Linked DNA regions of Callithrix jacchus. The protein of the gene in region 3 purifies or fractionates together with the protein of the main gene of each other region. This does not show direct contact. Links are inferred from orthologs where the notes say so. Each region holds a gene or a part of one and is shown on either strand. Other genes may lie near its edges.

The links.
Region 1: the proteins of AURKA (region 3) and WDR62 purify together in Homo sapiens (affinity purification with mass spectrometry; 3 studies listed by BioGRID and IntAct, counting the BioPlex papers as one, with this or other methods). This does not show direct contact. The link is inferred for Callithrix jacchus from reciprocal best matches to the Homo sapiens genes AURKA and WDR62.
Region 2: the proteins of AURKA (region 3) and ARFGAP1 purify together in Homo sapiens (affinity purification with mass spectrometry; 3 studies listed by BioGRID and IntAct, counting the BioPlex papers as one, with this or other methods). This does not show direct contact. The link is inferred for Callithrix jacchus from reciprocal best matches to the Homo sapiens genes AURKA and ARFGAP1.
Region 4: the proteins of AURKA (region 3) and DICER1 purify together in Homo sapiens (affinity purification with mass spectrometry; 4 studies listed by BioGRID and IntAct, counting the BioPlex papers as one, with this or other methods). This does not show direct contact. The link is inferred for Callithrix jacchus from reciprocal best matches to the Homo sapiens genes AURKA and DICER1.
Region 5: the proteins of AURKA (region 3) and PPP6R3 purify together in Homo sapiens (affinity purification with mass spectrometry; 6 studies listed by BioGRID and IntAct, counting the BioPlex papers as one, with this or other methods). This does not show direct contact. The link is inferred for Callithrix jacchus from reciprocal best matches to the Homo sapiens genes AURKA and PPP6R3.
Region 6: the proteins of AURKA (region 3) and FBXW7 purify together in Homo sapiens (affinity purification with western blotting; 5 studies listed by BioGRID). This does not show direct contact. The link is inferred for Callithrix jacchus from reciprocal best matches to the Homo sapiens genes AURKA and FBXW7.
Region 7: the proteins of AURKA (region 3) and PPP6C purify together in Homo sapiens (affinity purification with mass spectrometry; 4 studies listed by BioGRID and IntAct, with this or other methods). This does not show direct contact. The link is inferred for Callithrix jacchus from reciprocal best matches to the Homo sapiens genes AURKA and PPP6C.

The regions. Positions count from the first base shown.
Region 1 is NC_133523.1:32,243,657-32,247,156, forward strand, and holds part of WDR62 (WD repeat-containing protein 62), read left to right. Parts: intron 1-1,516; coding exon 1,517-1,735; intron 1,736-3,204; coding exon 3,205-3,335; intron 3,336-3,500. UniProt on the Homo sapiens protein: Required for cerebral cortical development. Plays a role in neuronal proliferation and migration.
Region 2 is NC_133506.1:58,775,968-58,779,467, forward strand, and holds the end of ARFGAP1 (ADP-ribosylation factor GTPase-activating protein 1), read left to right. Parts: intron 1-73; coding exon 74-150; intron 151-1,154; coding exon 1,155-1,464; 3' UTR 1,465-3,307; downstream 3,308-3,500. UniProt on the Homo sapiens protein: GTPase-activating protein (GAP) for the ADP ribosylation factor 1 (ARF1). Involved in membrane trafficking and /or vesicle transport.
Region 3 is NC_133506.1:52,021,421-52,023,875, reverse strand, and holds the end of AURKA (aurora kinase A), read left to right. Parts: intron 1-691; coding exon 692-866; intron 867-1,010; coding exon 1,011-1,193; 3' UTR 1,194-1,955; downstream 1,956-2,455. UniProt on the Homo sapiens protein: Mitotic serine/threonine kinase that contributes to the regulation of cell cycle progression.
Region 4 is NC_133509.1:129,913,550-129,917,049, forward strand, and holds part of DICER1 (endoribonuclease Dicer), read right to left. Parts: intron 2,999-3,500; coding exon 2,843-2,998; intron 1-2,842. UniProt on the Homo sapiens protein: Double-stranded RNA (dsRNA) endoribonuclease playing a central role in short dsRNA-mediated post-transcriptional gene silencing.
Region 5 is NC_133511.1:125,411,353-125,414,852, forward strand, and holds part of PPP6R3 (serine/threonine-protein phosphatase 6 regulatory subunit 3), read left to right. Parts: intron 1-379; 5' UTR 380-385; coding exon 386-612; intron 613-3,500.
Region 6 is NC_133504.1:44,390,282-44,392,991, reverse strand, and holds part of FBXW7 (F-box/WD repeat-containing protein 7), read right to left. Parts: coding exon 2,561-2,710; intron 942-2,560; coding exon 731-941; intron 1-730. UniProt on the Homo sapiens protein: Substrate recognition component of a SCF (SKP1-CUL1-F-box protein) E3 ubiquitin-protein ligase complex which mediates the ubiquitination and subsequent proteasomal degradation of target proteins.
Region 7 is NC_133502.1:173,787,365-173,791,623, forward strand, and holds the start of PPP6C (serine/threonine-protein phosphatase 6 catalytic subunit), read right to left. Parts: upstream 2,801-4,259; 5' UTR 2,706-2,800; coding exon 2,631-2,705; exon of another isoform or gene 2,413-2,630; intron 1-2,412.

The DNA.
Region 1 (3,500 bases), on a different chromosome or scaffold from region 3:
ATAAAAAAATTAAAATTAGGCCAGGCGCGGTGGCTCACGCCTATAATCCCAGCACTTTGGGAGGCCAAGGCGGGTGGATCACGAGGTCAAGAGATCGAAACCATCCTGGTCAACAATGTGAAACCCCGTCTCTACTAAAAATACAAAAATTAGCTGGGCATGGTGGTGCACGCCTGTAGTCCCAGCTACTCGGGAGGCTGAGGCAGGAGAATTGCCTGAACCCAGGTGGTGGAGGTTGCAGTGAGCCGAGATCGTGCCATTGCACTCCAGCCTGGGTAACAACAGTGAAACTCCGTCTCAAAAAAAAAAAAATTTTTTTTAAAGAAAAAATAAGGAGTGTTGGGGGTGGCAGTTTTAAGTAAACAGGAAAGGCCTCACTGGGAAAATATTTGAGCAGAGTTGAAGCAAGTGAGACAGGTAGATATTGGGACGAATGTTCCAGTCATAACAGCCTGTACATGTAAAGGCCATGAGACCAGGAGTTCAAGACCAGCTTAGGCAACATAGTGAGATCCCCATCTCTACACAAAATTTAAAAATAGCCAAGCATGGTGGTACACACCCATAGTCCTAGCTACGCAGGAGGCTGAGGCAGGAGGATCACTTGAGCCCAAGAGTTGGAGACTGCAGGATCGTGCTACTACACTCCAGCTTAGATGACAGAGACATTGTCTGTTAAAAAAGAAGAAAGAAAAAGAAAAGAGAGAAAGACAATGTGGATTATAAGAGACAGAATAAGAGAGGTAAATGAAAGATGATCCCAAGGTTGGGGCCTGAGCAACGGAAAAAATTACTGAAACGGAAGGTTCTAGGAGGAGCAGGTTTGTGGGGAGGAAATGAGTTGTCAGCACGTTAACTTTGAAATACCCACCAGACATCTATACAGAGATGTAGAGCAGTCACATGTGCAATTTGGAAGTTTCAGAGAAAGGTTCAGGGCCAGGCAATCTCAGCACTTTGGGAGGCCGAAGCAGGAGGATTGCCTGAGGCCAGGGGTTTGAGACCAGCCTAGGTAACATAGTGAGAGTCCACCTCTACCAAAAAAAAAAAAAAAAAAACAAGCTCGGTGCTTTGGCTCACGCCTGTAATCCCAACACTTTGGGAGGCTGAGGTGGGTGGATCACTTGAGGTCAGGAATTTGAGACCACCCTGGTCAACCTGGCAAAACCCCATCACTACTAAAAATGCAAAAATTAACCAGGCATGGTGGTGGGCACCTGTAATCCCAGCTACTCAGGAGGCTGAGGCAGGAGAATTGCTTGAACGCAGGAGGCAGAGGTTGCAGTGAGCTGAGGTCACACCACTGCACTCCAGCCCAGGAGACAGAGCAAGACTTCGTCTCATAAAAAACCCAAAAAAACAGAGAGAAAGGTTCCAGCTGGAGATACGTATCTGGAAGTTGTTTCTGAATGGTGTTGAAAGTCAGGAGGCCAGATGGGCTGTTTGAAATGTCCATGGCGCTCCCTGCAGTGGGTGAGCACTCAGCCAGCTTCCTGACTGTCCCATATCCTTCAAGCTAGGGGATGATGATGTGCCAGATGGCTCGGCCTTCCATGCCAAGCGCAGCTACCAGCCCCACGGCCGCTGGGCAGAACGGGCCGACCAGGAGCCACTCAAGACCATTCTTGATGCCCAGGACCTGGATTGCTACTTTACCCCCATGAAGCCCGAGAATCTGGAGAACTCCGTTCTGGATTCACTGGAGCCACAGAGCCTGGCTGGCCTGCTGAGTGAGGTGTGCACTTCCACCCCAGCCTGGCCAGCAGTCCCTGTACCATGACGGCCCCAGGGCCTGGGGCCTCAGCCTGACTCCCACTCCATGGGGGAAGGGAGGATTACATGAGATGGTGAAGGGCAGAAGGGTGAGCCCCAGGTCTGGTGCACAGCAAGACTTACCAGGGCAGACAGGAGTCTTTGGAAAGTGGGTCACTTCGGGGTTAAGAGCTTAGATGCTAGAGAAGGCTTATACCCAAGTGGGGTACATTTGGGTGGATCGACCACTGGCCGTACCCATTCCCGGTTTTGTGACCTGGAGTAAGAGACTTAACCTCTCTGGGCTTCAGTTTTTTAAAAGTAGTCATAATGGGGTCAGGCAGGGGCAGTGGGTAACACCTGTAATCCCAGCATTTGGGGAGACCAAGGCAGGAGGATCATTTAAAGATCACTTGAGGAGTTCAAGGCCAGCCAGGGCAACATAGCAAGGTCCCACCTCTACAAAAATATTTTTAAAATGTGTTTGTTTTGGTTTTTTTTTTCTTATAAAAAATTTTGTTTAGGGCCAGGTGCAGTGGCTCATGCCTGTAATCCCAACACTTTGGGAGACCAATGCAGGTGGATCACGAGATCAGGAGTTTGAGACCATCCTGGCCAACTTGGTCAAACCCTGTCTCTACTAAAAATACAAAAATTAGCTGGGCATGGTGGCACACACCTGTAATCCCAGCAACTCGGGAGGCTGAGGCAGGAGAATTGCTTGAACTGGGACCCGGGAAATGGAGGCTGCAGTGAGCCGAGATCATGCCATTGCACTCCAGCCTAGGCTACAGAGCAAGACTCCGTCTTAAAAAAAAAATGTTTTTGAATGGTGATAACAATCTCTTCTGCCCCAGAGGGCTTTACAGGAATCCATGCTAAGTATAGGCCTGGGCTCTTAAAGGTTGCTTTAGCTCTTTAGCTACTTTAGCTCTTATTATACTATTTGCCAAACAAAATTCTTTTTATCCTCTTCTATAATTTTTATTTTATTGTGATATAATATATATCCAGTAACATGCACAGATCTTAGGTATATATCTTGATGAACTACTTGTGTCATTCGTATGTGTCCACTACTCTGGGTAGAATCTGGAGTGTTTTCTACCTCCTGGAAACCGGTTTCTTCTGCCCGTCCTCATCAGGTCCTCCCACCAAGATAACCAGTGTTCTGACCTCTCACCACAAACTGGGCTTCCTATTCTTGAACTTCATACAAATAGACCCGTAGAGGGTTGGGCCTCCTATTTTTGGTGCCACACCTCTTCCTTATCTGTAAAGGGACTGATAGTGCAGGGGCAGCCCAGGACAAGCTGGTCTCGAGCAGAATGTGTGGCACAGGCCCTGGGTCACAGCCTCCAGCAGCAGGTCTGCCAGCATGGTTCCTGGCACACCATTGGTGGCCCCAGGTGCCATGGCTGGCTCAGAATGTCTGTGCTATTTTCCCCATAGTCAGATAGTCCCCAGGAGGCTGGCTGTGGGCACCCCTCCTTCCTGCCCCAACAGAGGGAATCATCGAATGAAGCCAGTGAGCTCATCCTCTACACCCTGGAGGCAGAAGTGACAGTCACAGGGACAGACAGGTGGGTGTCCTTTCCTCGAAGGGAAACTTAGTTGGAGGAAGCCCCAGCTGATAGGTGCACCCTGGAAGAACTGCTCTCTGCCTTCCCACTGGGCTTGTGGGAGTGGGGACAGTTGATGTGGGGATGGGGATGGAGTCAGGCCTTAGTTCCCTGGTTCCAGGTGGG
Region 2 (3,500 bases), about 6.8 Mb from region 3:
AGTCGGTGTGCACTGGCTTGCGTGCCTCTGCCGTGATGGGGCCTTCCTAACCTCTCTTCCCATCTCCTTCCAGGTCCAGGGAGTCAGCAGTAAGGGATGGCGGGATGTCACCACCTTTTTTTCAGGGAAAGCAGAAGGCCCCTTGGACAGGTACACCATGTCCCCATCCCCCGAGCCTGTGTCCCACCCCCTCTCTTGATGGTGGTCGGCTTCCTTGCTGGGCAGTGTGGGGGCGGGGGGCATCGTGGAAAGCTCTTCTAGTGCTCTGCCGCTTCGGGGGCCTGTCTCACCTGTCCCTGCCCTGGCTGTGTGCTTTTTGGAGCAGGAGCTGGGCACCTCAGGCTGGGGTGGGAGGGAGAGTCTTACTCACTGATCAGAGGAGGAGTCGGCGCTGCTCTGCCATTCCTCTGTCTCCCAGACTCTGGGTGGGTGGAGCAGATAGGGGACCAGGGGACAGTAGGGCTGGGACCCCCAAGACCTGTCCTGGGCCCCGGGCTGGGACCCCCAAGACCTGTCCTGGGCCCCGTGTCCAGCTCTGCCCTTGGCACTGGGTGCCCCAGGCATTCCTGCTAGAAGCTGGCTGCTCTTCTCAGTCCCTGACCCCAACAGGAACCACAGGGCTCTCATAGGGCCTGGCCCTGTGCTGTCCACTGAGACGCCAGCCCTTGTGAACACGTATGCTCTGCCCCCAGATGGGCCCAAACTTTCCCTACAGTTGCTACGTCCTTTCCCTCTCTGTGTGTGTATAGGGTTTCAGTGGTATGACTACAACTGAGGGCAGAGGGCAGGGCCTGGTCCAGAGCCGACATGCGGCGGGGGCATCTCTCGGGAGAGCCTGAGTCCCCACGAGGCCAGTGCCCCTCCCCCTCCCCCCTTAACTAAACCACTGATGACATAGCAGGTTAGAGCTGGTAGAAAAAGAAATTTTCTGTAAAAGAGTGGGCCCTGGTTCTCCAGGTCCCTGGCACAGTTTCCTCTGCTCTAAAATGGGAGAACCAGCTCCTGCCTGGCAGGGCTGCTGTGGACCCCGAATGCTGGCCTGGGAAGGCGCCACAGGGCCTGGTGGTCACTGTAGGTGCAGAGCTGTTGGGGGCACGGAATTCTGAGTGGTGGGCTGAGTGACATTCACAGTCCCCCTTCTGTCTCTTTAAAAGCCCCTCTGAGGGCCACAGTTACCAGAACAGCGGTCCAGACCACTTCCAGAACAGCTCCATAGACCAGAGCTTCTGGGAGACCTTCGGGAGCACTGAGTCTGCCAAGGCCCGGAAGTCCCCGAGCAGCGACAGCTGGACCTGCGCGGACACCTCCACGGAGAGGAGGAGCTCCGACAGCTGGGAGGTGTGGGGCTCAGCCTCCACCAACAGGAACAGCAACAGTGATGGTGGGGAGGGTGGGGAGGGCGCCAAGAAGGCGGTGCCGCCGGCTGTGCCTGCCGACGATGGCTGGGACAACCAGAACTGGTAGGGCCACCGCAGCCCCGTCCCCAGCGCTCTGGGTGACTTCGTGTTTGCACTCTGCCCTCGTTCTCCTTCCCTTTGACCCAAGAAGCAGTGACCGCAGTGTGAGGACAGCATCTTGGGAGGCAGGACTCTGGGGAGACGGGTTCGTGCCACCTGTCCACCGTGGGGTCTCGGTGCGTGGGACGGCTTGCTCTCCATCCCCTGCGGGGGGCTGTCCCATCCCACACTCCTTGGGCATTCTTGGACTCCAGCAGGGGCCCGGTGTGGCTTACTGGGAGGTGGGCTGCGGCACGGACCCTCACAACTGTGTTCCGGTGGCTGGTTTGACACATTTTCTCCAGGGTCAGGGACCAGTCACGTGCCATGCTGTCAGCGATGAAAGGAGCCGAGTCTCGTGGAGATGTTTAACTCTGGGTTTGCTCTAGTTCTTTCTTTGAAGAAAGTGACTGCAGTGGTAAAGACGGCAATGCTGAAGGAGACACTGGCGCTCACACTGCCACTGACCACCCTTGCTCCTGTGTCCACGCCTGCCTGGGCCCATGTCGTTACCCCGAGTGGCTTCCCTGCATCGGCCTCGTCCAGCCGCCACATTCACTGGACACACCTCCCAACGGCCATGCCTGAGCTGTTCTCAGTGCTGAAACTTGACTATTCTGGAATGCCCTGTTAAGACAAAGGAGTGCGGGGGGCCGGGTGGGCCCTCAGCCCCGGTGCAGTGGGGTGCGACAGTAGGAGGGGCTGAGCTAGAGTCACCTGTGTGCAGTGCCTGGGTCTGGAGAAGGTCCAGCTTCTCGTCAGCCCCCAGCATGCAGCTGTGCTCATGTCCCTCTGACACCCCCCTCTGGCTTCTCTGTCATTTGAGTCTGGTTGGCTGCCTGGAGCCTGGCTGGCTTGAACCTGTTGGATGGGGCTGCCCTGCAGCCTGGTGCCCACCCCATGCTGACCTTCCCCAAGTACTGGATGACATGCCGCTGCATGTGACTCAGTCTCTCTCATCTGCTGTGTGTGACCCTCTGTCTTGGCCAGCTGTGCATGTGCTGGAAGCTCGTGCAGTGTGTGAGGTGCTCTCCCCTGCCGCCATGCTCCTCACTATGGCCTCAGCCATGCTCCCTGATCACCCCACTTTCCAGCCGCCATCCGCAGCGCTCCTGGAGCAGCCTGGCCCTTTAGCCCTGCGCACGTCCCACCTCAGGGAGTCGGCCACCTGCAGAACAGGATGGGTCCTAGATTTCAGGGAGCCCTCCTGGCACCCGCTCCTCCCTGTGGGCACCAACCCCCTTGGTAGCCAACCTGGAGGGCCTGTGCCTTTGGCTGCCACAGACTTGGTCACCAAAGCAGCCACCTGCTATAGTTGGACCTGGGGTCAGAGGCTTGGGGTGCTGAGAGGCCTCAGGGCAAAGTGGCCAACACAGAGGTCACAGGAAGTCAGTCTTGGAGAGCGGAGCATGAGGTCTTGGAATGTCTTTCCTGAGCTGAGACTTGGGTGGCCTTGCGATTTTCCCCAAGGGCTGCTTGGATCCTGGTGGGCTGAGTGCTCTGAGGAGGGGTGCATTCCATCCTGGAACCCAAACTCTATCCCCCCACCCCCTGGGAAGGTGCCTTGCTTGGGGGCAGGGTGACAGTCCCTTCTAATGGAAAGTGCTGTCAGTGTTGGGAGGGGTTGGGGCCACCTTCGGAACGGGATGTGGTGGCCAAGACACCTCCACAGAGGGTGAGGGCCTTTCCCTTCTGCAGGTGTGGGCAGGTGTCCCAGGACCTGTGGGCGCTGGGGCCTCGCCTGGCTGTGTGAGGGCCCATGTGGAAGGCACAGACTTGACAGCTTTCCAATAAAGCACATGGGAGCACGAGGAATGTCTGGGTGCATCCCAAGGGGCCACTTTCAGTGTGGTGTTAGTAGGGTCATGGGATCCCCAGGGAGCGGCGGTGGAGCACTGGGCTCCCTCATTTCTCCTGGTCCCTTGCTGCACCCAGCCTTCCTGGGGAGTCCTTGGCTTCACCCCATCTGAGCCAGACCTGGCAAGTAGGCAGTTGGGTGACCCA
Region 3 (2,455 bases):
ATATTTAGTCCTATTGTCCATGATGTTTTATAGCTGGTTTGTAAAATCAAGCCCCATGCTCTGTATTTGATTGTCTCTGTGGTCTTAAGCCAGACCAGTCTCTTAAAGTGGACTTTTCTGATTGTGTTGCCACTAAACTTGGACCTATATTTGCTGAAAACTGGAACTTAGGCCTCAGGGCCTGAAGAGATTAAATACTTTTGGCAAGAGTATTTCATGGGTCACCCTCAGAATTTCAGCATCTCTTGTACCAAAGATCTACCACAAGGCAGCACGCATCTACGTCTCCAACCCCAGTGCAGTTACAGTGGGACAGTTTCTAGTGTTATGTCATTGCCACCAGGCTTTTAAGTCTTAGCATATTTGTAATATCTATATGTAGATGTAGAACTCTAAATTGTATTTACAGAGAACATTGCATGGTAGCTTTTATGTGGTAGTGATACATTCAGTTTCTTACATTCTAGATCATTCAGGGAGGTTCTGGAGTGGGACAAATTTGGGATTAAGGTTTGGTGGCTAGCGGTGTGACCTTACTCTGTTTCCCATGGGAATTTATAATAGAAGCTACTTCCTAGGACACAGGATCTGGCCCAGGGAAGTGCTCAGTGTTTGTGGAATTAATGATTTTAGCAGCTATTGTGATCATGAAACCAGAAGCACATCAGCTTGAGCCTCCCTCTGTTTTTAGGAGGACCACTCTCTGCGGCACTCTGGACTACCTGCCCCCCGAAATGATTGAAGGTCGGATGCATGATGAGAAGGTGGATCTCTGGAGCCTTGGAGTTCTTTGCTATGAGTTTTTAGTTGGGAAGCCTCCTTTTGAGGCAAACACATACCAGGAGACCTACAAAAGGATATCACGGGTAAGATGTCACTGAAAAGGACCCAGCACTTCTGCTGGAATTCTTTTCTTATCAGCCTGAACTTCAGGCCAAGATCTGAATATCTATACTATTTGATCTCTCTAACTTGTGTTTTGTGATATTTTATCATTTGCTGTATTCCAGGTTGAATTCACATTCCCTGACTTTGTAACAGAGGGAGCCAGGGACTTCATTTCAAGACTGTTGAAGCATAATCCCAGCCAGAGGCCAATACTCAGAGAAGTACTTGAACACCCCTGGATCACAGCAAATTCATCAAAACCATCAAATTCCCAAAACAAAGAATCAACTAGCAAACAGTCTTAGGAATCGTGCGGGGGGAGAAATCCTTGAGCCCAGGGCTGCTGCACAACCTGTCAGGAACATGCCGCTGACATTTATCTTATTGTTGACTGCTGCCCTCAATTTAGGACGCTACAAGAAATATTTGTTTTACTAAGCAGGTGCCTTAACCGCCCTATTCAGAAAGCTCCATGTCAATAAACATGACACTCTGAAGTGAAGGTAGCCACAAGAATTGTGCTACTTACACTGGTTTGTAATCTGGAGGGCAAGGTTTGACTGCAGCCACCCCCTCAGCCTGTGCCAGGCATGGTGTCCTCACAGGAGACAAATCCAGAGTCTGGCTGTGGGGAAAGTGAACACTTTGCCCTGACTCGATCAGTTAAGGAGCTGTGCAATAACCTTCCATGTACCTGAGTGAGTGTGTAACTTATTGGGTTGGCCAAGCCTGGTAAAGCTGTTAGAATGAGTATGTGATTCTTTTTAAGTGTGAAAATAAAGATATTTGTACAGACTTGTATTTTTTCCCTGGTGGCATTTCCTTAGGAATGCTGTGTGTGTTCAGCACTCCGGAAGGCCTGGTTGGGTTTCTAGTCCTTAACCACTTATCTCCCTTATGAGTGTGTGTAAAATAGGAACACGTGCTCTACCTCCAATTAGGAACTTGCCTGGGATACAGAAGGGGCCATGTGTCTCAGAGCTGTTAAGGGCTTATTTTTTAAAAACCACTGGAGTTTTAAAATGGCATATGTGGAAACTTTATGCAAATAAATAAGTATCTATGTCTGTTGGAGTACTGTGTAGTTCTTCCCATCACCTGTTTGTTGTTGGCCTAGAAATGAGCAGGTGCTGAGAGAAGCAGGCCTCGCTGCCCTCTTCTGGTCTCTCCCTGTTGGGTGTACTCCTAATACTTCATTATATATATTGTTTACATATTTGTTATATATTGTCATCTGTCCATTGACTAAAGATAATGGTGCACATGACCACGAGGAGGGAATGGTGGAAGTGCTGGAACTTGGAGCTAGTAGAGGAAATCTGCTTGCATGGCCAATGCTCTGTGCAGGAAACTAGACAGCAGGTATGTTAGGATATATCATAACCAAGTGGCTGAGATAGAGAACCTTAAAAACACAACTGAGTAAAACTGCAGTTGCCAACCCCCTTGGGACAAAGGAGCTGAGCTGACTTTGACATTCCCAAATAGTTCGTGTGCCACCCTCCCAAACTATAGTTACTATCACGTGACCAACTTCCCCAGTGATACCAGCGAAACTTGGGACGTT
Region 4 (3,500 bases), on a different chromosome or scaffold from region 3:
ATGTCCACAATGCAAAATTTCAACTAAGAAGTCTAACTCCAGCAGGACACACAATGAAAGCACTCATAAACTGATCACAGATAGCTTCAATTTTGCTGACAAAGTTTGAAAATGTGGTAATTTGATTTTCAAAAAGATTTTCAAATTAATAAAATGAAATTCTGGATGTAGAAAAGCATTTCCTTTGCAATTAAGAATATAAAACCAGGTAATATTTTTAAAACATTAAAATGTACAGTAGGATTTTATAATAAAGCTTTTGTCCCTATTTCTACTTCAAAGTAAACTTGCTACAATAAAAAAACTACATTGCTTTGCTTAAAAAATAAAAGTGATCACTATGCTAAGCTATGAATTTGAGAAATTATGCTTTTCCTCTCCACTCTGAGCTACAGTAATCAAGGGAACAGATTATAGCATAACTGACAAAAACAGAAGAAAATTTAGACTAACATGCAACACAACAATCCAATTTCTGTCAAAAGATCTTTGCTAATTCCAATTTCTTTGGCAAAAGCTTATTTGTGAGTGACAATCTTAATAATGGGCTCGATTTTAGTAATGATGTAACTTTTTTGCAATCCTAGAAAGATGCCAAATTTCTGTTATGCAACTTTTTTAAAAAAACAAAAACCTTTACTTTTGGGCAGAGGTGGGGGAAGGCGAAGGGTGTCTGTCAATGTTGATTGTAACAACTTTCCAGAATGTTCTGACAAAAAAAGTTACAGCCTTCAAGCATTTTTTAAATACTACAAATATTTCATTTTAAACCAGACTCAAAAGAGATATAAACACTGTATTTGTCTGAAAAGAAATAGCAGTAAGTCAAGCCATATCTATATCTTTTCATTGTTTTAATTAAGAAAAAAACACTTTTCAAGAACAAGGAAGAATACCAAAAGAAACTGCAGTGGCAGACCTCAAGGAACTATTTTCTGCTAAAAGTCTTATGCTTTTCCAAGGCAACATGAAGATGCTTTTGATTACTGTTTGGTCCTTAAGACAAAAAAGGGCTAAATTGCAATTTTTAAAAAATAAGACAGTATGTTTTTTAATTGGGAAAAAAAAAAAAAAAAAAACTTCTGTATCTTTACAAAGGTGCTACCATAAGCCAAAAGTGGCAGAGCACAAAAATCACAAAGGGCTGACTTTTATCCCAAACTGTGTGATCCTGGGCAGAGCCTTTTAGTGCCTCTGGGTTTCAGATTCTTCACCTACAAAAGAATGGGGTTCTATCTCATAAAATGTTTTTCAAGAGCACTTCAAGCCTTTTAAGAAAAAATAGCGCATGAAATCCTTTTCTCTGACAGTTCAAGTCAACTTTGACACTCTCTTCCAGTAAGAGGCTAAGTTTTAGCATGCAAAGGTTTCAGTTAAGCCCATTTGCTGAAGGGCCAGAGAAAAGCAGGAAGATCAGCAACGCAACCAGCCAAAACCACGGTGTATCTTTTCAATATAATGCAAGGGCCTATATTTCAATAAAAATAAGTTCAATAAGTAAAAATCCAAACAGTATTTCTAATGAATTCCAATAACCAAAGTGCCAAGAGAAACATTAAGAAAAATAAATTGAACTGTGTTGTATCTTAAAAAAAAAAAAAAAAAAAAATCAACATGGCATGCCAATGTCACCTTTATGCTACACGTTTTTAAAAGAGCCAAATATGTTATGAAAGGTATTAACAAAGAAGGATGACTACTACTGGCATGTTATTTATAGAAATAAAATACTATTTCCAAAGCTCAAAATCTATACATTTTCCTCTAAGGTTTTACTTATTTCTAAATTAATAACAAATAATTGTTCTGACCTAACTTGCATTAAAATATTCCCTTAATGCTTTTCCAAATAAGTTCTAATTTTGTAATAAGACAAATACTACATGAGTTAAAAATATCCTCAATAAACAGGTAAAAATCAGAATAGTGTCACAGAACATGCTACCTGGAAATACTTAAAGGCAGATATATAGGATACATGTGTCAGAAAGTAGGCATGAAGAAAATGTATATTCAGAAAATATAACCAGTGAAAGAAACAAATGGTGTTATCATTGTTGGCCTGAAGTAAAAATGAAGTAATAATGAGCCAATTTATCTTTCATGCAAAATAAATCTCCAGGAAATTAAAGTGTCTGAAGCATTGCCTTTAACTTTGGAAGAGGCACCAGAACTCTCCCAGTCAACAACCACCACCGCATTGACTCCTGCAGCTCAGAGGCCCTCCCAGGTGCCCTCTGGTGGCCTTCAAGACAAGACAAAATGAAGCAGCTGTTGCTGACACTTGGAGTCTTAAGTCACCAGCAAGATTTAAATTATTTCCAGAAAATAATAATCTTTATGAATGATTTTTTTTTTAAGTTCACAGGAGTCCTGACTGGGAAAACCCTGAGCTACAAAAGCAAGATTCAAGATAAATTGAAATGAATTATTTCACAGACAGACTGGAGATAACAGGTCACTGAAAAGTCATTTATTTCACTGAACAGAGCTAAGGATCTAGGATAAGTTGTAATAAATAACAGCAAAGCAAATTAAAAAAAAAAAACAGCAAAACCCAAAGTCAAAACATCACATACTGTTATGCCTTCGGAAAATAAATAATCACATACTCTTATGCCTTTGGAAAATAAATAATAAAAATAATAAATAATTCCTCATCAAAATTATAACACTATTTCTGAATTCTGTGAAAAGACAGTATATTTGAAGGAATTAATTGAATATATCAAATATCTATTATAAACATACCAAGAAAAGGAAACAAAAAGTTAATAAAACAAAATTCTCTGGCTCACCAAAAAGTAAATCCCTCTAGTTACACACACAAAAAAAACCTTACCATTTCATCTTTTTCCCATTTATCTGTGTTGCTTTTGTCTTGATTTACTACATAACCAGGAGGAAGCCAATTCACAGGGGGATCAAATATTGACACCACCATGCGGCTGGGCAGTCCCTTCTTTTTTCCAAGGCGATACAGATTACAGTTGCTGACCTTTAGCAGAAAATATTAGGACACTTATCTATAAATGATCACTGCTGGAATTCATTCAAGGCATATTAACATATCCTCAGTTAAATGTTCTTCAAATTAATTAATTATACGGTCATCAATTAATTATAAGGGCTCTAGAGTTTTTCGACCCATCTATGTTATAAAGAGTATTATAACAGCCATGGAAACTGGCAACTTGGGAGCAGGGGCAAGGATGGTAAATACTTCTGAATATAAGATGTAGAGGACAAAAAATAATGTATGTAACTGTGCAAATTCCTTATGAATGAGAAGAAACAGTTCAGACAATATCAAAGCCTTGAAAATACAACCTGATGATGTAAAATGCAAGCTGCTAATTGGAATTATCAAAGTAAAAAAGAACCCATATAAAAAGTCAAGATGTCACGATATCTTCAATGAAATGGGGGGATGATACCATCAGCTCTAGCTGCAAAGTGAAAACTGGCACCGAACAGAACTCAAAGAATGTTATATTCCT
Region 5 (3,500 bases), on a different chromosome or scaffold from region 3:
TTAGGCCTCACTGCTTATCCCTTGTTGCTGAAGACATTCTGTTCTTCCCCTTTAAGAAGAGAGTGAATTCACTCCTTTTCCAGCATCACTTCTTAACACGGTATGGATGAATTCCTTTTGAAGGTTAAAATCATTCCAAGTTTTAGCTTTCAGCATTTTCAAGTCAAAATTTTTTATCAATTAAAATATTTTCTTTTCGAGAAGGATAAAAATCCTGCCAGTTACACATTAAAAAGTATTTTATAGGTTCATTGTGAAGCTTATTTAACTTATGTGAGCCAAGTTGGCATTTTAGACTGTAACTGAACTGAAACATGAATTATGGAAAATCAGTGTGTAAAGTTGAGATTTTATGAAGTATTTTCTGCATTTTGTTTAGACCAGCATGTTTTGGAAATTTGATCTTCACTCATCATCCCACATAGACACACTTCTAGAAAGAGAAGATGTAACACTGAAGGAGTTAATGGATGAGGAAGATGTTTTACAAGAATGTAAAGCTCAGAACCGCAAACTTATAGAGTTTCTGTTAAAAGCAGAATGTCTCGAAGATTTAGTCTCATTCATTATAGAAGAACCACCTCAAGACATGGATGAGAAGATCAGATACAAGTAAGACAATTTAATCTTCTCTCTAGGGTGGGACTAAAGTGAGGTGCGGGGTAGGATATTACAGTTCTTGCTCAAGAATTCTCCAGTGCGACTGTCACCATTTACAGAAGGGTAAGATGGTCAAGGACTGGCTCAGTGGAGCACAGAATCCATTCCAGAACTCAGTCCAGGGAATCACAAGAGTTTAGAAATGAGTGTTCTGAATTTCATTCAAAAGTTTTCTGGAAAGGCAGTGTGTTTTGTAAACAATGATGACAAATTTCTCAAAACAGTCAGATGATTAAAATACTTACTTTACAAATAGGAAGGTGGAGATTATATGACTACACAGAATTGCATGGTGGATCCAAGCCAGAGCTTGGGGTTTTGAAGAACGTTGCCTATACAATACAGTCTGACCTTTTATCAACTGAAAGTAAGGGAGTGGGTATTAGTGAACGTCGGTGTAGCTGCTCACACCATGGATAACTACAGTGGATTTTGTTTGCTAGTCTAGTCTGTTTACAAGCAGAACCACAGTGTAGTGAGAATCCTTTATTACCATCACTGTAACACTTTTTATACAAACCCCTGGAAACTCTCCATAGATATGTAAAGTATTGGGGTTTCAATTAAGTATTTCTCCATATCCAACTCTATTAAAATATTTGGCTCTTTTTCCCCCAGAAAATAGAGCAACTTGAGAAACAAAAATTGATGCATTACATAACTTAACGGAATAGGAAGAGTTAGGCTTTCAGTAGTGTCTCTCTTGCCATTTCTTTCCCAGTTTATCGTTCTTGTCAGGACATCTTTTCCTTCCTTCTTGGGGAAAAATGTGCTGTTTGGGAAATAATACTTGTTAATGCTTTCAACTTGCTAGTGGCTTAGATCTTCAAGGATGTCATGTTCTCTGCCAGCCATTAACATTGACACCTAGAATTTAGTGAAAGCCTTCACTCAGAGATTAGAGTCTTAAAAAGAAGGAGGAAGGGCTGTGCACTCTGGCTTATGCCTGTAATACCAGCACTTTGGGAGGACAAGGCAGGTGGATCACCTGAAGTCAGTAGTTCGAGATCAACCTGGCCAACTTGGTAAAACCCCAAGTCTACTAAAAATACAAAAATTAGCTGGGCTTGGTAGCAGGTGCCTGTAATCTCAGCTATTCACGAGTCTGAGGTAGGAGAACTGCTTGAGCCCTGGAGGCAGAGGTTGCTGAGAGCTGAGATTGTGCCACTGCACTCCAGCCTGGGCAACATTTAAAAAAAAAATGGAGGAGGAAAGAAATCTGGTGGCAGACATGCTGGTGTGCTCTCATCCCCCAAACGAGAGACACTTTACTGCTTGGAATTCCCTTCACAGTGAACCAGCATGTGGGTGGTGCTGCTTGCACTGGGGCTTGTCCTCGTTGGAGGGTGTGGTCTGGGTCAAAGAGCACAGTTTTTGGATCAGCCCACCCTCTTCTCTTCCCATCTGAGAGCTTGGGTAGAGAGCTTACCCTTCTTGGGTCTGTTTCCTCACATGCTGAGTGAGGCTAGTAATGGTTTAATCAGAAAAGTAGGCATGCCTTATATGAAGGGCTTACTTTCCCCCAAAGAAGTAGTGGCCCCCCCGTTTTAAACAGTGTGACACTTGTATTATGTTGCTTTGCCAGCATTTTTGCCTTTGAGGTTGCAAGAGCAAATGTGCCTCCCGTGGACCTGGCCTTCTGCACGCACCATTTTGAAGGAGCACTGCTTGAGCTGGATAGTGCAGTGCTCTGCCATGCTTCTGGCCTGAGCAGTCGCCACCTGTGTGTAATGTACCTTGGGTGCGCCACAGCTAGATTAGCATAGAGGGGTTTTTCAGCTGGGACCCGAAAGTGTTTTAGGGTTAGGGTTGACTATAGTCATTTAAGGAAGTTTAGATTGGGATGATGTGGTCATTGCTCTGTTGGGGTGGACCAGGCTAAGAAGCCCACCAATTGTTTGTCAGATAAGGCTTGTGGAGAAAAATGAAGCACGATGAGACAGGGATGCTGAAGGTGGAGGATGGGCAGAGGAGCTCAGGGAAGGCGTCATTAAGATGCTGCCATCTGATCAGAGCCATGCAGGAAATAAGGGGGTTGCCAAGTGGGCACTTGACAACAAGGAACATCCAGGCAGAGGGAACTGCAAGTGTGGAAGCCCTAAAGTGCTCGTGTGCTTGGTGTACCCCAAGAACATCTGGGCATCCAGAGAAAGGGCAGCATCATGAATGAGGGAGAATGGAAGGAGGGAGGGTTGGGGTGGAGTTGGAGTACCTGTAGAGACAGGCCACACAGGGCCTGGTTGGCTCAGCCAGGATGTTTGCTTTACTTGAGACGGGAAGCCACCACAGGGTTTTGAGCAAGTGCCTTGGTCTGACTTTGCTCCCCAGAAGTGCTCTGTTAGCCCCGTGGAGGAGGACAGAGTGGAAGTACAGTTGGCCACAGTGATCAGCACAGAAAAAAGATCTTAGTGGACCTGTTTGGTCAGACACAGTCAGACTCTTGGAGGTACTAGATGAAGTTAGAACGGAAGGGGTTTGCTCTAGGTGTGGAACGGTAGATAAAGTGTCCAGAGTGACTATGAGGATTTTGGCCTGGGCCGTTGAGAGGATGGAGTGGCTTTATGGCAGTGAAGTAAGATTGCAGAGGGAAGGGGCAGGGAATGGCATAATCTCAGCTGACAGCAACCTCTGCCTCCGGGGCTCAAGCAGTTCTCCTTCCTCAGCCTCACGAATAGCTGAGATTACAGGCACCTGCTACCAGGCACAGCTAATTTTTGTATTTTTAGTAGAATCTGGCCCTGTCAAAGGCGAAATGCCTGTTAGAGACATCAGGTGGAGATGAGGCCTCGCAGCAGGTGGGACTGAGGACATATAAAGTCTGAATGAGATCACCTGCAGAG
Region 6 (2,710 bases), on a different chromosome or scaffold from region 3:
TCTGCTGATGGACAAATAAGCACTAAGAGATCTATTACCCTCACCAATATGAACCAGTCAAAGCTGAATGTACACTATTCCAAAACTCTGAGGCAAGACAAAACCAATGAGTAAAAAGCTGCAATGTTGCCTATCAGATGGCCCCACCAAAGAAAAAAAAAAAAAAAAAAAAAAAAAACCACTTTCTAAGGGCTACACCAAATAGAAAAAGTTGATCATGAGACACTGTTATACCTCATCTAATATTAGTGATTTTCACTTGTCTCTTTCTCTATTTTAGTAGGTACTATTATTCCTCTCCATTCCAGGTAAGCATGTGACTAAATGGAGGCCAAAGCAATTTTCTATCAGGGATGCTTTTTTTCCCAATAAGGTAGCCCTTTAAAATTGAACAAATTAAAAATGCAATGGTCAATCAAAAATTATAATGAGTAAGTTGCTTCTATAATACAGCCAGATCTTTCTTCTCACTGTTCTTTAAGGTTAAGTAGAGTCAACTGAACATGCAGGAAGTGATTAAACAATTTTATATTACATATTAAAAACACAGTTTAAAACATCTCAAGAGTAGACTAGTTCTGTAAGTCAGGGTAAAAATATTCATAAACTTTTCTGAAGTAAGTATTCTGTATGAGGTTGGCTATTTTTGTAATGCTAAAGCTCCCTATTTCTCTTAAATAACAATTTCATTTTCAATGAACAAAACTAAAGGTAAGTAACCAACACTTACCTTGCAATGTTTGTAAACACTGTCCTGTTTTGATATCCCAGATTTTAACTGTAGAATCTGCATTCCCAGAGACAAGAATATTGTCTTTGAGTTCCATTCCACTTGTTAACGACTGATGCCCTGTTAACGTGTGAATGCAATTCCCTGTCTCCACATCCCAAACTCGGATTGATGTATCAAGAGATCCACTGACCACATGGATACCATCAAACTACAACAGACACAGTTTATTAGAATAGAAGTAAGGATACTTTTCCTATTAATTACTGACCTTAATCCTAGCAGGAATGGGGGAAGAGCATGGGAAACAGGTAATGCCAGGAACAAAATGAGGTGCTAGGATAAACTGGCAATGAGAATAAAGTGCATGTCATCAAGCAACTCTACAATGTATGTTCTCAGACACTTCTATCAGAAATGCTCATCTTTACACCCAGCAGCTTCAAACTAGATGCAGAAACAACTTAAAATGAAAACAAAGCACCTAAAACGAACAATATATTAATTTTCAAATCATCTGTCCCCACTTAGCTATATACCATGTGATTGACAGAACTGTTATTTGAGTTTTACTTCCCACTAGGAAGTTGAAACTAATGACATAGCTTATGATAAATGGAGTGCTTATTAGCACCTAAGGCATGAAAAGGGCTAGAGATAACTTTTGTGATGTTCAAAAGTAAGTTCCATTAAAAACTGTGTGTAAAATAAAATTTCACTTATAAGAACCTAATGTTAATTAGGAAATGTGCCAAAAGATAATTATATCTGGAATCAGAAGAGGTGGCATTTTGACATCAAAAGCACACTACAAACTACCTCTTCTCCAGCTTCCCAGCTACACCAAAAGCCAATAACAATCTATCATTTCTATATAATAATGTGGCTACCTCTTTTCTCAGTCAAATAGGTTATTTAAATTAGAATATTATATTGATTAGCCTTCTGAGCATATCACAAAACATACAAACAGTTGCAGCCAATTCCCCTTCCACCAAATTCATCACCTTTTCTAATTTAGCAAACATCTTTATCATATTGCCCGTATTTCCTGACACGGACAATATCCCTTCGACAAACAAACAAATATCCTAAGAAAAGAACTGTCAGTACTAAGATTATGTACTAATTTGCTGAACATTAATGGGCAGTAACTGGCAAATAAACTATATAAGCTACAGAAAATATTTAAAAATTGAAAATGTTGCCTTTCTGGAAATAAAACAAGATTCATATTCTAAACCTTCTATTCATCTAGTTAACGATCTTAAAATACGGCAATGTTTTTAAGGATACTGGCTTGAAATGTAAACCAAAAAAAAAAAAAATCAGCTTAGTCAACTTTACTTCTTTATGACTACAAATCAGTGCCTCTGGGATAGCAGCGTGCTTTATGTAGAAAGGATCTATTTCCACTCTGAACGGGGATGGAATCACAATTACATGGTCCATCAACTTTTAGCTATCAAAGCAAAGGGGCAGTTTTGGCCATATTAATCCTCTGGCAAAGGAGTTTCTTAAAATCCAGGTTACTCTCCTATGAGACTATTTAGCCATTAATTAACATAGCAAGAGTCCCAAAGTGTCAGGTTGCAAGACAAATATTTGTATTTCACAGGGAAAATAGATTACAGAAAGTTGAAAGCATTTAAATAATTTTGAAATTTATACTTTCTTCATGCCAATTTTAAAGTGTATATAAACAGCAGAATAATCTGTTTAATCTTTTTTTGGACTATATTGGATCAGCAATTTGACAGTTATTATCTGGGTAAAACAACCTTATGATTCATCAGGAGAGCATCTAAGAGACAGATAAAGATCTCTTACCTGTAATGAATAGACTCTATTAGTATGCCCCTGCAACGTGTGTAGACAGGTTTCAGTCTCTGGATCCCACACCTTTACCATAAAATCATATGCTCCACTAACAACCCTCCTGCCATCATATTGAACACAGCGGACTGCTGCAACATGACC
Region 7 (4,259 bases), on a different chromosome or scaffold from region 3:
CGCGTGCCTGCAATCCCAGCTACTGAGGAGGCTGAGGCAGAATTGCCTGAACCCAGGAGGCAGAGGTTGCGGTGAGCCCAGATCGTGCCATTGCACTCCAGCCTGGGTAACAAGAGCGAAATTCCATCTCAAAAAAAAAAAAGAAAAGAAAAAAAGAAAAACAAATAGAAGCAAAGTATAATGCAGTTGTGTTCAATAGGAAATAAAATGGTCTAAAAACTATATTTCATTAAGGTAAGAAGGAAATCTAATGTTTATCAAAGTAAGAGGTCCAAAGAAGTCCAACAGATTCTTTTTTTTTTTGTGAGATGGAGTCTCCCTCTGTCACACAGGCTGGAGTGCAGTGGCTTGATCTTGGGTCACTGCAACCTCCACCTCCTGGGTTCAAGCAATTCACCCTGCCTCAGCCTCCCAGGTAGCTGGGATTACAGGCACTCACCACCACGCCAGGCTAATTTTTGCATTTTTTAGTAGAGATGGGGTTTCCCATGTCGATCAGGCTAGTTTCGAACTCCTGACCTCAGATGATCCGCCCACCTTGGCCTCCCAAAGTGCTGGGATTATGCCATGCCTGAGACGTTATCATAAAAAAAAAAAAAACATTTTATTTATCATAAACACAAAGTTTAAAAAAGCTTTACACATGATAAATAAAAAGAAAAAATTCCAAATCAATTCACTGACATGCAATAGTCAACCTCACCTACAGGATTAATAATGCTACTAAGAGGTCTGGTTAGTTTTCCATGAATTGGATCCCAATGCTAGTTGTATTCTTATTCCAAAAAAAAGAAAAAAGAAACACGCATAGCAGAAAGAAGCCACAAAACAAATGTCTGAAGGACTGATGAGTATGTATGCTACATTGCTACTAATGAAGGCTCTATCCTTATTTTAAATTATCCTATTAAAAATGGGAGCATACACAAGAATGACTCCCCTATAATATGCTTCATAAAATTAACATATAAGTACAATTCAGTTACATTCACAACAGCATGTGTGGCCTCAAACATTATGCATACTTGTTGACTTATGTTAAGTATCAACTTCCAATACCAAAGAAGAAACAAACAAAACCCACAGTAATATATTTCTTGAAGAATACACTAAGATAAATAACTAGCACAAGCTGATAAGCACTGCTAGAAACCTAATAAGCACTGGTTTCACCAAATGCATAAACACTTTTCAAAAAAGCAGCATACCTAGGACGGGTGCGGGGGCTCACGTCTGTAATCCCAGCACTTTGGGAAGTTGAGGTGGGCGGACCAATTGAGGTCAGGAGTTCGAGACTAGCCTGGCCAACATGGCAAAAACCCGTCTCTACTAAAAATACAAAACAGCCGGGTGTCAGCCACCTACTCGGGAGGCTGAGGCAGGAGAATCACTCGAACCCAGGAGGCAGAGGTGCAGTGAGCCAAGATCGCGCCACTGCACTCCAGCCTGGATGACAGAGTGAGACTGTTTCAATAAAAAATAATGATGGAAGGGAGCGGTGGCTCACATCTGTAATACCAGCACTTTGGGAGGCCAAGGCGGGCAGATCACGAGGTCAGGAGTTCAAGATCAGCCTGGCCAACATGGTGAAACGCCATCTCTACTAAAAATACAAAAATGAGCCAGACGTGGTGGCATGTGCCTGTAATCTCAGCTGCTCAGGAGGCTGAGGCAGGAGAATCGCTTGAACCCAAGAGGCGGAGGCTTCAGTGAGCTGAGATCAAGCCACTGCACTTCAGACTGGGCGGCAGAGACTCCGTCTCAAAGAAAAATAAAATAAATAAATAAATAATAAGTTGAAAAGAAAAGCAGTATATCAAACTCATTCCTTTACCCATACATACATTTACTTGGACTCAAGGGCAACGAGGAACTCGTCTTCTTTAGAAAACCAAGAAAACGAAATCTTGAGTTAAGAAGGGGTTAAGGGGAAAGTATTTGTATTTATTAAGAACCAACTACTTTCTCCACTTCAGTAAGCTCAACAAAATACTCAGAAACGGGTTCACCTCTGAATTAGCAGAAGAAAACCCACGGTCCTAAAAGGCAATTTGGAGAAGGTGGAGGAGTGGCAGAGAAGAGGGACGATCTGACATTCGCTCTCGTCAGTACCAAACCACTCGGACCCACCGCCTTCCCCTTCCTCAGAGACCTAAACAAACTGGGGCCGCGTTGCAAGAGCCTGTGGCAACTCCTGTCAGACGCCGGCCACTCTGCGCTCCTGTCACCTCCAACGGGGACGATCCCATCCCGAGGGCACTGCCGCGGGGGCTCGGCAGTGAATGCCGGAGATCCCGGGAAGGGGTGGAAAGCTGCTAAGCAAAGCTGTTGCAGCTACGGGTCCTGGGGCAGCCCGAAGGCCAAAAGGGGCGACCCTGGGGTAGAGGCCGCGAAATCCCTTGGGATACCCACTGAGGCAACTAGGACATCATTTGGGGGACTTGGTTCCCCCAACCATTGGCGTGACGCCGGGTCGGGCCGGGTCGCATGGCATCGGAGAGGGCCCTCCACCGCGGAGAGACGGGATACCCGGCGGGGGTCCCACGAAGAGAGGAAGGGCGGGCCGGCGGGCGCCCCACAGCCGGAAGGGGCGAGCCTGTAAGCAGCGCTCCCGCCCCGGCAGGGCTCACCTTCAGGTCGTTCTCTGGCAGGTATTTGCACAGCCGCGCTATCTCCACATACTTGTCTAGGTCTAGCGGCGCCATTTTGAGAATAACAAGCCGCGGCGACAGCGGCGGGGTCGGCGGCGGCGGCGGCTGTAAAAGCAGCGGCGGCGGCGGCAGCGGCGGAGGCCGAAGCCGGAACTCTCCTACGTCACGTCCGGACCGTGAGTGGCGTCTGCGCAGCGCCGTTAAAGCGCGACCCGCTTCTCCCCGCTACCTCGGTACGCCCGGCGCCCCCTCTGGCTGAACCCCGGCTGCAGGCCCCAAGAGGCCCCCCCATCGGTCCAGCCTGCGAATTCTGATGGGACCCGTAGTCGCCTGCCGCGGGTGTTGCCGGGATTTGTAGTTTTCCGTTGTGGACAGCCACCCCTTTCTTTTCCTCCCCTTCAGTTCCTCCAGACTTTCACCTCCCGGCAGCGGGCGAGGCTTTTCCGAGGCAAAACGGCGGAGTAGGTCGTCCTAGCCACTCACTCGTTTCTCCTTCCAACCCTTTTAAGCACTCTCTCACTTTCACTTAACAACTGGGTAAGCCTGGCCGTAGTAACTTGTTTGCATCTTTCCAAGTGCCTGTGAAAACCTCGCTTAAGCCTGTGGCACAAATGTCAGGCTCCAGCCTGAAAGGAAGATAAAGAAATATTAAAGCATTTCTTGGCCGGGCGCGGTGGCTCACGCCTATAATCCTAGCACTTTGGGAGGCCGAGGCGGGTAAATCACGACATCAAGAGATCGAGACCATCCTGGGCAACAAGGTGAAACCCCGTCTCTACTAAAAATACAAAAATTAGCTGGGCATGGTGGTGGCGCCTGTAGTCCCAGCTACTCGGGAGGCTGAGGCAGGAGAATTGCCTGAACCCAGAAGGCGGAGGTTGCGGTGAGCCGAGATCATGCCATTGCTCTCCAGTCTGGGTAACAACAGCGAAACTCCATCTCAAAAAAAAAAAACATTTCTTATGCTAAATGCGATACAAATTCTATTTTTCCATTTAATCTTTGTAACAATTGGTAGGAAAGTGAGACTTGGAGGCTTTAAGTAGTTTACCCCAAATCTCACAGGGAACAAATGGTGGGGCCAAGATTGGAAAATGGCTTAAGCTTAAGCATACTTCCAGTGAGAATCCCACGAAGGCAGGGAGTTTTCTGCTGTGACTCCAGCACGGAGAACAGTACCGCATACCTTCAGTAGTTTATTCAACCGCTCTTTATTGAGCAACAAAGATGTACCAGGTACAGCTGCAGGCGCTTGGAATACTTAGTGAACAAAATAGACAAAGATCTCTATCCTATCTGTAGCTACAAAAACTACCAAATTTAGCCGGGGGCAGTAGTGCGTGCTTGTGGTCCCAGCTACACTGGAGGCTGAGGCAGAAGAATCGCTTGAGCCCAGGAAATGGAGGTTGCAGTGAGCTGAGATCGTGTCACTGCACTCCAGCTTGGGGGACAGAGCGAGATCCTCAAAAATAAATAAAATAAAATTAGTAAAAGGAAGCTGCTGTATGGGACTGGGGTGGGGGTGCAATAGCTCTAGCTAAGAGATCAGTTAGGAGACTGTTATGTCATCCAATTGTAGCAGGTGCGCAATACATATTTGTTGCTCAA